Linked DNA regions of Nothobranchius furzeri. The main gene of each other region encodes a partner of the protein of the gene in region 2 in a complex. Links are inferred from orthologs where the notes say so. Each region holds a gene or a part of one and is shown on either strand. Other genes may lie near its edges. The genes, in order: arf2b, ap3d1 and AP-3 complex subunit sigma-1.

What was found.
Region 1: the proteins of ap3d1 (region 2) and arf2b are in contact, whole or in part, in a cryo-EM structure (PDB 9C5B), measured with the Homo sapiens proteins. The link is inferred for Nothobranchius furzeri from reciprocal best matches to the Homo sapiens genes AP3D1 and ARF1. Residues at the interface, in NP_003929.4 of Homo sapiens: Lys48, Asp50, Phe77, Ile80, Glu81, Ser84, Asp107, Met110, Leu111, Thr112, Thr113, Asn114, Gln115, Arg117, Lys118; in NP_001019397.1 of Homo sapiens: Tyr35, Ile46, Pro47, Thr48, Ile49, Gly50, Phe51, Asn52, Val53, Glu54, Trp66, Lys73, Ile74, Leu77, His80, Tyr81, Gln83, Asn84.
Region 3: the proteins of ap3d1 (region 2) and AP-3 complex subunit sigma-1 are in contact, whole or in part, in a cryo-EM structure (PDB 9C5C), measured with the Homo sapiens proteins. The link is inferred for Nothobranchius furzeri from reciprocal best matches to the Homo sapiens genes AP3D1 and AP3S1. Residues at the interface, in NP_003929.4 of Homo sapiens: Leu18, Gln19, Val22, Arg26, Cys60, Thr63, Tyr64, Gln66, Met67, Leu68, Gly69, Tyr70, Asp71, Ile72, Ser73, Lys87, Phe88, Thr89, Arg92, Ile93, Leu96, Gln100, His103, Tyr126, Leu132, Thr133, Ser136, Tyr161, Lys164, Lys165; in NP_001275.1 of Homo sapiens: Met1, Lys13, Pro14, Arg15, Leu16, Ser17, Lys18, Phe19, Pro22, Tyr23, Glu25, Asp26, Gln28, Gln29, Arg42, Asp43, Glu44, Asn45, Val46, Cys47, Asn48, Phe49, Ser80, Glu81, Ser82, Glu83, Leu84, Gly85, Leu87, Asp88.

The regions. Positions count from the first base shown.
Region 1 is NC_091756.1:54,230,026-54,232,801, reverse strand, and holds the end of arf2b (ADP-ribosylation factor 2b), read right to left. Parts: intron 1,088-2,776; coding exon 963-1,087; intron 829-962; coding exon 667-828; 3' UTR 635-666; downstream 1-634. UniProt on the Homo sapiens protein: Small GTPase involved in protein trafficking between different compartments. Modulates vesicle budding and uncoating within the Golgi complex. In its GTP-bound form, triggers the recruitment of coatomer proteins to the Golgi membrane.
Region 2 is NC_091748.1:55,651,783-55,655,437, forward strand, and holds part of ap3d1 (AP-3 complex subunit delta-1), read right to left. Parts: intron 2,884-3,655; coding exon 2,773-2,883; intron 2,159-2,772; coding exon 2,000-2,158; intron 1,725-1,999; coding exon 1,677-1,724; intron 387-1,676; coding exon 366-386; intron 52-365; coding exon 1-51. UniProt on the Homo sapiens protein: Part of the AP-3 complex, an adaptor-related complex which is not clathrin-associated. The complex is associated with the Golgi region as well as more peripheral structures.
Region 3 is NC_091757.1:54,248,063-54,251,725, forward strand, and holds the start of AP-3 complex subunit sigma-1, read right to left. Parts: upstream 2,950-3,663; 5' UTR 2,739-2,949; coding exon 2,670-2,738; intron 713-2,669; coding exon 621-712; intron 1-620. UniProt on the Homo sapiens protein: Part of the AP-3 complex, an adaptor-related complex which is not clathrin-associated. The complex is associated with the Golgi region as well as more peripheral structures.

The DNA.
Region 1 (2,776 bases), on a different chromosome or scaffold from region 2:
TCTAATAATAATAATGATGATAATAACAATAATAATAAAACAGCATGATTTTCAGATGACAGCAGAACAACCATGGATGTGCGCCCCTTTGCTTTGACCTGATACAGGTTAAGATGGTCGGTTCAAAATCAGACAACTCAAATCAACATCTAGTGGGAGGGGGTGGGGGAGTTTAGTTAACAGATTTAGTGGTGGTGGGGCTTCCACCCTTGCTCTTCCTTTGCCGTATGAAAACCATGCCCGTGCCTGGAGGGTGGGGGGTGAAGGGGGTCGTGCAAGACTGAGAGTGGAGGCAGACCGGGCGGTGGGTTGGGGGCAGGAATGAGGTTGGTGAATGGGGGTGGGGGGCTTGAAAACCAGACTGCTGATTCCACAGGTGTGTAAAAGGCACGCCGGGATTCCTCCTAATCCCAGCCAACACACACACACACCTTCACACCCACACTCTCTGAACACACAACACACACACACTCTCACACACTCACACACATGAGCAGCACAAGCTCGAGCCCCGAGAGGATGGACGAGAAGGGAAAGCAGGAAAAGCATGAAAGCGCTGGATCAGAACTAGGTCAGATGGGAGCAGGGGGGCCTGGGTCTGGTGCTGCCGCTGTGTTGAAACAAAAAAAATTAACAACAAACAAAAACCCAAATAGGTGGAATGGATCATTTCTGGTTCTTGAGCTGGTTGGAGAGCCAGTCCAGACCCTCGTAGAGACCGTCCCCACTGGTGGCACAGGTGGCCTGGATGTACCAACTGCGCTGGCGCAGAGCGTGTAGGCCCAGTTTGTCTGTGATCTCTGCAGCATTCATGGCGTTGGGGAGATCCTGGGAAGAGCAGGTGAACATCATCAACGATATCTGAAAGCTGACATTCTTAAATACAAAACACAAATGAGCTCTTTAATACAGTAAAACCAATCTTTAGTCTATAGTAGCTAAACACTCCTGGATAGTCCTACCTGTTTATTTGCAAAAACAAGCAGCACAGCGTCTCTGAGCTCGTCCTCTGCAAGCATTCTGGAAAGCTCCTCTCTCGCCTCATTCACTCGCTCCCTGTCATTGCTGTCCACCACAAAAATAAGCCCTGAAAGCAAAAACACACCAAGTTAATGTGTGAGCAGATAACATGTTTGTGTTTCAGCATGTGTCCTGGTTGGAGGGGGCTTCTGAGACCACTGTTAATAATTAACAAGGGCTGAAACATCAAATGGTTAGAATCAATAAAGGAATACTTTGCAACTTTCAAAGTTTTAAATCATTTTCTTGAGCCAGTACGTGCCAAAATGACCCTTTACTGGGTTAATGAAAGGCCACCCAGCCCCTATTGCCCCCTGTGGCCAGAAGATCACACTTGCAACATCAGTTTCTGGTCTTGTCCGTTAGGACTTAAAAAATTGAACTAACCTACCTGGCACTGCAGACTGGTTCCAGAACATTTCCTAAATGTTGTAGATCATGAACAAAGCCGATTTGTTTAATTTAGTAATGAATCACCCCTCTAGACACTTAGGAATGCTGGGAGACACTTCAGTTGTGAGATTAAAGGGATAAAAAGACAAATGCAGACCGAGGAGATAGGTTCTGGTTTCATTTCTACAAATGGACACTAGGGGGGCAAAAGCAAGTAAACTCCTTAATTTTGTACTGATTCAAAGCGTTAAATGTGCACACCACAGTCTGAGCACATTTCACTGGCACACAATGTGGTAAAAAGGTGGAGGCAGTCCTTCCCATGTTAAAGACAAAAACAGCCTAAAGTTTGGGATAAAGAGTTAAACTACGGGAAGACTGGCTAATGCTAAGCTAGCATGAAAGACGCTCACGATGAAGTGGAGATCAGGGAAAAAAAGCGTGATGGTAGCGAATCTACAAGCAGAAGAAAAATCTCCACTATCCCATTTATTTGTGGACGTCTGCAGCTGCAGCGGTGTGGGGCAGAACCGCTGCAGCTGCTACCCAGAGTCAGGTTGTTGCTGCTGAGTCAGTGACTCAAGTGCTCCACACACCACAGCAGACTATGACAAGCCGTTGTAGCATGTAATTCATAAAAACCTCTATATTTGAATACAATTTAGTAGGGATGTGAGAAAATATCGATATGGCAAAATATCGTGATTTTTTTCCTGCAATATTATATCGATATTCTAAAGCCGTGTATCTAATTCTTGAAAGAATTTACATGCAAAACATTTGTGTATTTTCTTTTCGTTTTGTGCAATTCAATCACCACCCGCTAGTTGGCAGCAGTGTGCAATGGGTTTTGTTTCCACCACTGAAATGTAAATCCCTCCATCATGGTTCAGATACCTCATGTTAAACATGTTACGTATCAGTTTGGACTGTTTATTGAACATTCTTACAACAAATTCAGTAAAAAAAATTGCGTGTAACGTCTGACTGAATGCATCGCAATATATCGTATCGTCTCCCCTGTATCGTGATATGTATCGCCAAAATTTAAAAAATACACATCCCTGCAATTTAGACTGGATTATATTGCCAACCAGTACATAATACAATTAGTGCTGCCATGACTAGTTAACGCGTCACGATGACGTCAGCAAACAAAATAGTCAATAAATGTAATAGTCAACTAGTCGTTTATTCCATGAGCATTTTTTAAATCTCGCCTGCTCCGTCTTTCTCCTCGAGTCACATGTGCAGTAGTCACGTCCGGGTCAGTCGCCACTTTTTCCTAGAGGCACATGCGATCCAGATCAGCATTTGAATCAGAAACACAGAAGAAACAAGATATCATGGCGCGCCGGCAGCG
Region 2 (3,655 bases):
GGACACAACCACCTGACTGCCATCCTGCAGGTTACCCTGGATGTCGTACGCCTTACGATCAAATGAATAAAACAGGAAAATAAAAGTTAGCATCACAGAGATTAAGCGCCTCTCCCAAGTCTAGTTAGAGAAAATAGTCAAGAAACAAGATTTTAGATGAACATCAGAAATTCCTAGAAATAGGCTGAACACGAGGGGGTAAACACAGAGATTTTCTCAGAAAGAGACCAAACACTGCTGTGCTACAGAGGCATTCGTGTAATCTGCCTCAGAGGACAGCCTGTAAAAAGAACAAGGACAGAGAAAAGCACATCTATCAAAGAGTGTTTAAAATTTTCTGCCTGAGACAGAACTTTAACAAATACCTCGTCAGCGTCTTCCATCATCTTTAAAGAGAACAAAAAGAAAGAAGGCATTTGGATTGATTTTTGCTTCTATGTTGAATGTTTATGTGTCTACGACGTCCAGGTAGTGCCAGGTGTCAAAAATTGAAACGTCTGTTTACAGTTTTATTTAGTAAACTAGGCTAACACATTTTCACATGTGCTCTTGTTCTGGTAATCTGTGTGCATGGATTTGCTAAATAGAGCATCTCAAGTTTGGTGAATTTGAGAACATGTCAGGATTTTTTTTTCTTGAACCAAAAATTCCCCCTCACTTCAACCACAGAAAATACTAGTTTGAGTAAAAACAAGTGATATTTTAAGCTGGACAGATAAGAGTTATTCGCCATTACAGGGAGCAAATTTTGGGACCGTTTACAAGGAGCAGCACCTGAAAATAAATACTCTCTTATTAAAAAACAATAAATCACTAGTTGTAATGCCATTAACATCTGATAATATTTCATGTGATCAATGATACTACAGTTGCTACTAATAATGTCATTGAAATAAGAAAGTCAGGTGTTGAACTTTGCAGATGGTCCCTAAGCAGTAAAGTTACCCAGAGATCGGTCAGCTGCCATCTTTGACGCAAACACACAGCTCAACCCAACAGCTGCTGCACATTTACACCGCTGTTGTTATTTCTCCAGCTTAAAATTCAGCTCCGTTTAATGGAAATTAGATTACAGTTTACTTTTCTATAGTTGGACTGAGGTTAAGTCTGTTCTGCAATGTTGCTCGTCTCGAGAGCCACTGATCCAGGTAATTAAAACATTTCTGGTTTTGGCAATTTAACTAAATAAATAAATACATCACTGCATTTAAATAGTTGTGTGCATACTGTTTACCAAACCGAGAGCACAGATCATGTGTATGGTGTACAAAAGATTTCCCTGAACTTTACTTGTATTCTACACTTGGCACCGATCCTTCTCCATAGCCATCTTTGACACACCTGGTGATTACTAACCTTGTATGGAGAAACATGTGAAAAGTTACAGATAATTCACCTCGTTTGATCAGCAAAACCATTTTTATCTCATTGTTTATTTGCCCATCTGTATTAACAATTCACCAAAACTGAATCAGGTTTAACTCCAATGCAAGAGGACTGTGTCTAATTTAAACCTTTTTTTAAATAGAAACTGTTCTATTGGAGAAACATGAAGACACATTTATGCATTGGAAATTAAACTGGGGAATTAAATGCTCCAACCCAAATGAGGATAAATGGTTGTGGAAAAATAAAGAAGAATATTCTGCAGCAGTTTCCCAATCTCCATCACTCACCACCTTGATGTAGGAGTTCTCAGCCAGCAGGCAGTAATTGGACATGGGCTGAAAGAAGAGAAGAGCTCAGGTCAGATAGGGCGTTCGCAGTCACTCGGTGTGACACCCCGGCAACAGGAGCCTGTGTCATCAAACTGATCTAACGTGTGTGTGTGTGTGTGCGTGTGCGTGCGTGTGTGTGTGTGTGTGTGTGTGTGTGTGTGTGTGTGTGTGTTAAAATTGAATGTTTATGTTTATCAAAGCTTGTAGAAACAGAGGTGATGAACACTTTGAATGTAAACTAAATATATCGGTAAAACATTTTAGGATGTTTTAATACTGACCGGGAGAGGCTCTTCTTCCTCCACAGTCCCATTCTGAACAGACTCCTCTCCACCTTTGTCACCATGGTGATGGTGATGATGATGATGCTTCTTCTTCTTTTTCTTTTCCTTGTCTTCCTTTTCCCTTTTCTGCTTCTTCTTCTTGTGTTTGGATGACTTCTAAACCCCACAACAGGAGCAAAGAAAAATACTTTTAGAAATCTGTAAAACATCAACAATATGTTTAAACACTGAAGAGTTTGACACTTCACGCTATTGCTTTGAAACTGGTTTCAGTGGTTCTTGAGGCTGACATTTAAACAACTTCCAGTTGTACAGCTCTCTGCTGATCAGAAACTGCACCTTACAGTTTTGTGGTTCAAGTAGGAACACTAGAGGGAGGTCTCTACTTGCTTTATGGCAACAGCTGTTTGCTATGACGGTAGCTCGATAAAGGCCATTCGTTAGCTCTTTCAGTTCATCGACCAAATAAAAGTGTAGCACTAGCCACAGCAGGCTGTGGCAGGACCGCTCACGGCAGTTGTAATTATGCTTTAAACCAGGCGGACGGAGAAGCAGGAAACTTAAGTGTTGTTTTAACTGACTAAAATTTCAAAGTGATTGAAAATCTCCTCTCAAGACCAGAGAAAGTTGTAGAAAGATGGCAGGTCATTTACACAAACTTGTGAGAATGAGAACTGTCAATGTGCTGCATCTTGTCAGGCCTTTGTGAACTGGAATCTCAAGCACTGTGGCCAAACTTAGCAATTATCACATTATTGGCAGTGACTCACCGTCTCCTCCATTTCAGTGTCTTTGGGTTCTTCAGGCTCCGAGTCTGGTGTTGTGACAGAGATAGCCCCAGGCGCTGGAGCTGCTTCTGCTGCTGCTACCGTTGCTGCTTCCTGCTCTCACACAAACAGGCAACACACACATACACAAAACACCAAATTAAAAGAATTAGCAAACATGACCACACCAGCTTTGTTCTCCACTTCTGTGTTGAGAGAGGGAAGAAAGGTTAAGAGTCCCAACAAAAATGCCACCAGTGGCACACCAACAAAAATGACGATGCGTTAAACACTAAGCACATCCAACAAACCAACACAAACGGCTGCTCCAAAACTAAATCCTGGTGTGCGAGATTCTTTGTGACGGCGATAACTCAAGTGTGACAGCCAACACGAAAACAAGTCTTCTATATAAACCAGGCTGAAGCGTGTTTCTGGACCAGCTTCCACTTCGGGGCTGATAGCTTCAAAGATAAAACACACACACACCCATCTAACAGACCTGGTTTCACTGAACACTTCTCCTCACACGAAGACTAAAGATGAAAGAGCACTTTTAGATCCCTCGTGTGTCAAAAGCAGACTTATATTTCAAGCACGATATGTTTAACTTTCGCACAGAAAAGAGATGAAGATAAAAAGCTAATTTCTTGATGTAAAAGTATCATAAAATGTGCCGTCCTAAAAAGGTCAACAGGGGTCTCGTAACTCCTCTGAAATCATTAGATTACTCTTATATTTTGTCTTTAGTTGAGGTCATTTTGAACTGAACTGACTCCTGTAGATGAAGTGCATTCATTATAATCAGTAAGTGTTTAATAAGGTATTTTGCTACTACAGACTACTGAATACTAACTACTGACAAATGTACACAGAAATGAATGAC
Region 3 (3,663 bases), on a different chromosome or scaffold from region 2:
TTGTAGCTCATCACCATCAGTGTGTGAATGGATGAATGGTACACTGTAGTGTCAAGCGCTTTGGAGTCCTTACTCTGACAGGCGCTATACCAGTGCGGGCCATTTATCATTTTTAAAAATTACATTTAAGCTATAATTTCCAGCTATTGCCTGGAACCGGTGCCAACCACGCCGCGATCGTGGGATTAGCCAACTAGTTACCATTAAACTTGCACTTCCCCATGGCGCAACCTCCCACTAGCTTAACCAGCTAACGTGCTCATCTAAAAATAGCCCCCTTTCACAACCGACTGAACGTGTACGGTTCCGCTTACGCCAACATCGTACACAAAAAATGCAGAACACTAACTAGACATTCATGAAAATTTTATAGAAATAAAAGATTCTTGTTTATTGGGTCTTTGGTCATTTAAGAACTCTGGAAACTGTATTTAAGGATTATTTGTCATTTTTACGGATTTTTAAGGCCTTAAATCTGGAAAAGCTAATTTAAGACTTTTTAAGGACCCGCAGATACCCTGGGGGCTTTGAGTGCACTAAAGAGACAACAACGCTGCGACTTTCACCCCAAGCTGCTGGCGCGGCTAACGTCACAAACCTACTCGACAGTCATGACTCACATTCCACCTTCTAGGAAATTGCAGACGTTTTCGTCTCTCTTGGACACCAAGTGGAAGGTTTCCCTGATGATCTGTTGCTCTATGTCTTCATTCTGCAGGATGGATCAAAAAGAGAAGCGGTTAAACAAAAACGAGCGCCGTGTCCTTACTCGGACACGGATCGAGATACTCCACCCGTCCCCTTTTCATCCCGAGGTGCTGAACTCCTTGTGTGAGCAGCACCAGGCAGACTCATCTCATGGCTTCAGGAATCTTTGAAACGTTCTACAGAGGCTAAAATTAAAAGAAAAGGTTTGGTAGTTTTACGTAACCTACAAATCATTTTACGCTCTTAGCTTCCCTGAAGGGTGCTAAATCCTCTCAAGGTCCATCACAGCTCAGCGTTAAGTCATGTGACCCGTCTACAGGCCCGGTAGCACTAAAGGCGGCAGGGCTGGAAAGTAAAAGGTGATTTTTACATTTCTCATGAAGATTCATCTTGATGATAAATGTTGTCTTTTACTGGTCTACATCTGGAACTTTTAATCTGTAATCCTGGTGTTAACCCTGGGATTAGACCTCCCCGAGCAGATGGGAAGCAAATCTAATTAACATGTGCACATATTCCACGTCTCCCATCCAGCTTCTTCGGCTCCATTCCTGTGCTGCCACACCTGTAGCTAGCAGAGCACGACCTCTTCAGTTCTGTCACTCAAAATAACAAAAACAACATTGTGCATCAAGTTTATATTTCCGTGCAGCGTTGACGTAAAATGACAAACTAAGTCAGGAATCGGCATGCTAAAGATAGATTGAGTTAGCGGTAGCTGTGAAATATTAGATCCTGTGAGACGGTAAGCTGACACCTCAGCTTGCAATACAACAGATGGTGTATACAGCCTCCTCTAATCTGATCAATTTCAATTTATCCACCTGAAACTCAAACTAATTCACGTCTGACCTAAAAGAGATTAAATAACACAGAGACACAAAATAAATGTCTAGTTTGCTTAGAAATAGTCAGTGAAAGCTTTGTTTTGTCTCTCAGTGCTGCAGGCATGCTCCTAATAGCGTTACTGTGTGCAGTTCAATAGGCAATATGATGAGTATATTTCAATTACGCCTTAAGCACCAAATTATCACGAATCAAAAAAATTACAGTAAACAAAAAATAATAAAAGGACTTTTTATGCCTGCATTACAAATATTTTATTATTTCTTGCAAACATTTTTGTGTTTTAAAACTCAAAAATGGCAGAACAAGAGCAAAACACAACGGTGGTGCGCGGTAGAACTAAGTGTACACCGCCATTCCCCACACGCTCTGTAATACGGAATCCAGCAATGTTTTTCCTTAGTTTGATTTCTGCACACTACAGAAAATAATCACTATTCGTGCACTAGACTTCCTGCTCCTCTGGGATACCATAGACGCTCTTCTGTGCTTTTATAGCAGCCGCGTCTCTCCTCGAGTCATTCAAGTAGAAGTTTTAATCACCACTAAACAGCATAACTCTGCTATATGTTGATGTAAGTCTGTGCCTGCAGTCTCTTATTGTAATAGCAGCATTAATTAGGTGAAAGGCGCCACTGATCTAAATCCTATTATGATGGCAAGCCCAGCTCCATGTTTAACCCGACAGCTCCATTTGTGTTAAAAAAAAAAACAGCTGACGTTGAACACGAGTTACTCACACGGGCGTCGTTAAAGTCACGTGACCCAAACAGATAACTCTATTAGCGTCACGCAGCTGGACCTGATCGAACGGAACACAGTCCTGTCTCACAGCCCGAGGCGGAATCGGAGAGCCTCGCTTTGGGTTTCTCCTCTTTAATTATTCATCGTTTCTTTAAAGGCCACCGCGGACCAAAAACCTACATCAGTTTATAAAAACATGCACTCGTTTTTTCACAGACCACGCTTCCACGCGCTTCCTGGCCACCGATATTGATTTTGTTGCTAAACATTATTTTGCTAAACACCGCTTTAATTCAGCCTGGAAACACGCGGTTAGAAGCTAAAGGAACACATGACAAGAACTAAAACTGCTTCTTTTTTCTTTTACTCACAAAATGTTCGTAGAATTTAGAAAGCCTTGGTTTCCCGTGGTTGTTGAATATTAAAATGGCTTTAATCATGATTGTAGGTGAACGGATGGAGGCGCGGCGCGCTCAGTCTACGCAAGACTGGTTTCTGGCGGCTCCTGAGCACCCAGACCGGACCGGTTTCGGGGTTGAATCCCGTCTCGATGTGATGTTAGGACGGGCTGACTCGGAGCTACAAAGAGCTACTCCTCCATCGCCTCTTTACGGAAATATTCCACGTCAAACCACCAGTATTCCTCCACCTCCTGCTACGGCGGCTCGGAGGGATTCAAACTTCGACTTTTCTTTTTTTATTTCTTTCTTGTCTCAGGGTGTGATGCTCCAAATGTCCACACGGGGGCGCAGGAGGACATTAAATCAAAGTTCTGACTCAAATCCGGGTAACAGCACCTTTTGTGAAATAAACAAATAAAATATATTAGATATAAATACAATACTACTACTACTAATAATAATAATAAATAAAATAATAATAATAATGAGATAATATGTAAACAACTTATTGTGAATTCTAAGGGAATTATTGAGAAGGTAAATAGTCACACTTGAGTTATTACAGAGGAATAGCTCAGAAATTCACATAAATATTTATTTTAATGACTGAAAATATGTTTATTGCCTGGAGAATTAAATCCAAGCAGCAAATACTAAAACTCTTAATTTAAAATGAAATTAGATATTTAGTTTTTTGTGAATTTAAGTTGTTTTTAATCATATTCCTTTTCAAATGCATGCTGTAATATACATGTAGCTACTATTGTGGTATTAGCTAATGACTGAAATAAAATATATGCAATAAAGAGTGTTTGATAGTTTATTTACTCCGAGTGAATATTGTCATTAATCAAGCCCAAAGGTAATAAAATATAAATACTGTGTTCAATTTCAAAGTTAGTTAGTTAGTTAGTTAGTTAGTTAGTTAGTTAGTTAGTTAGTTAGTTAGTTAGTTCTTCAAGGT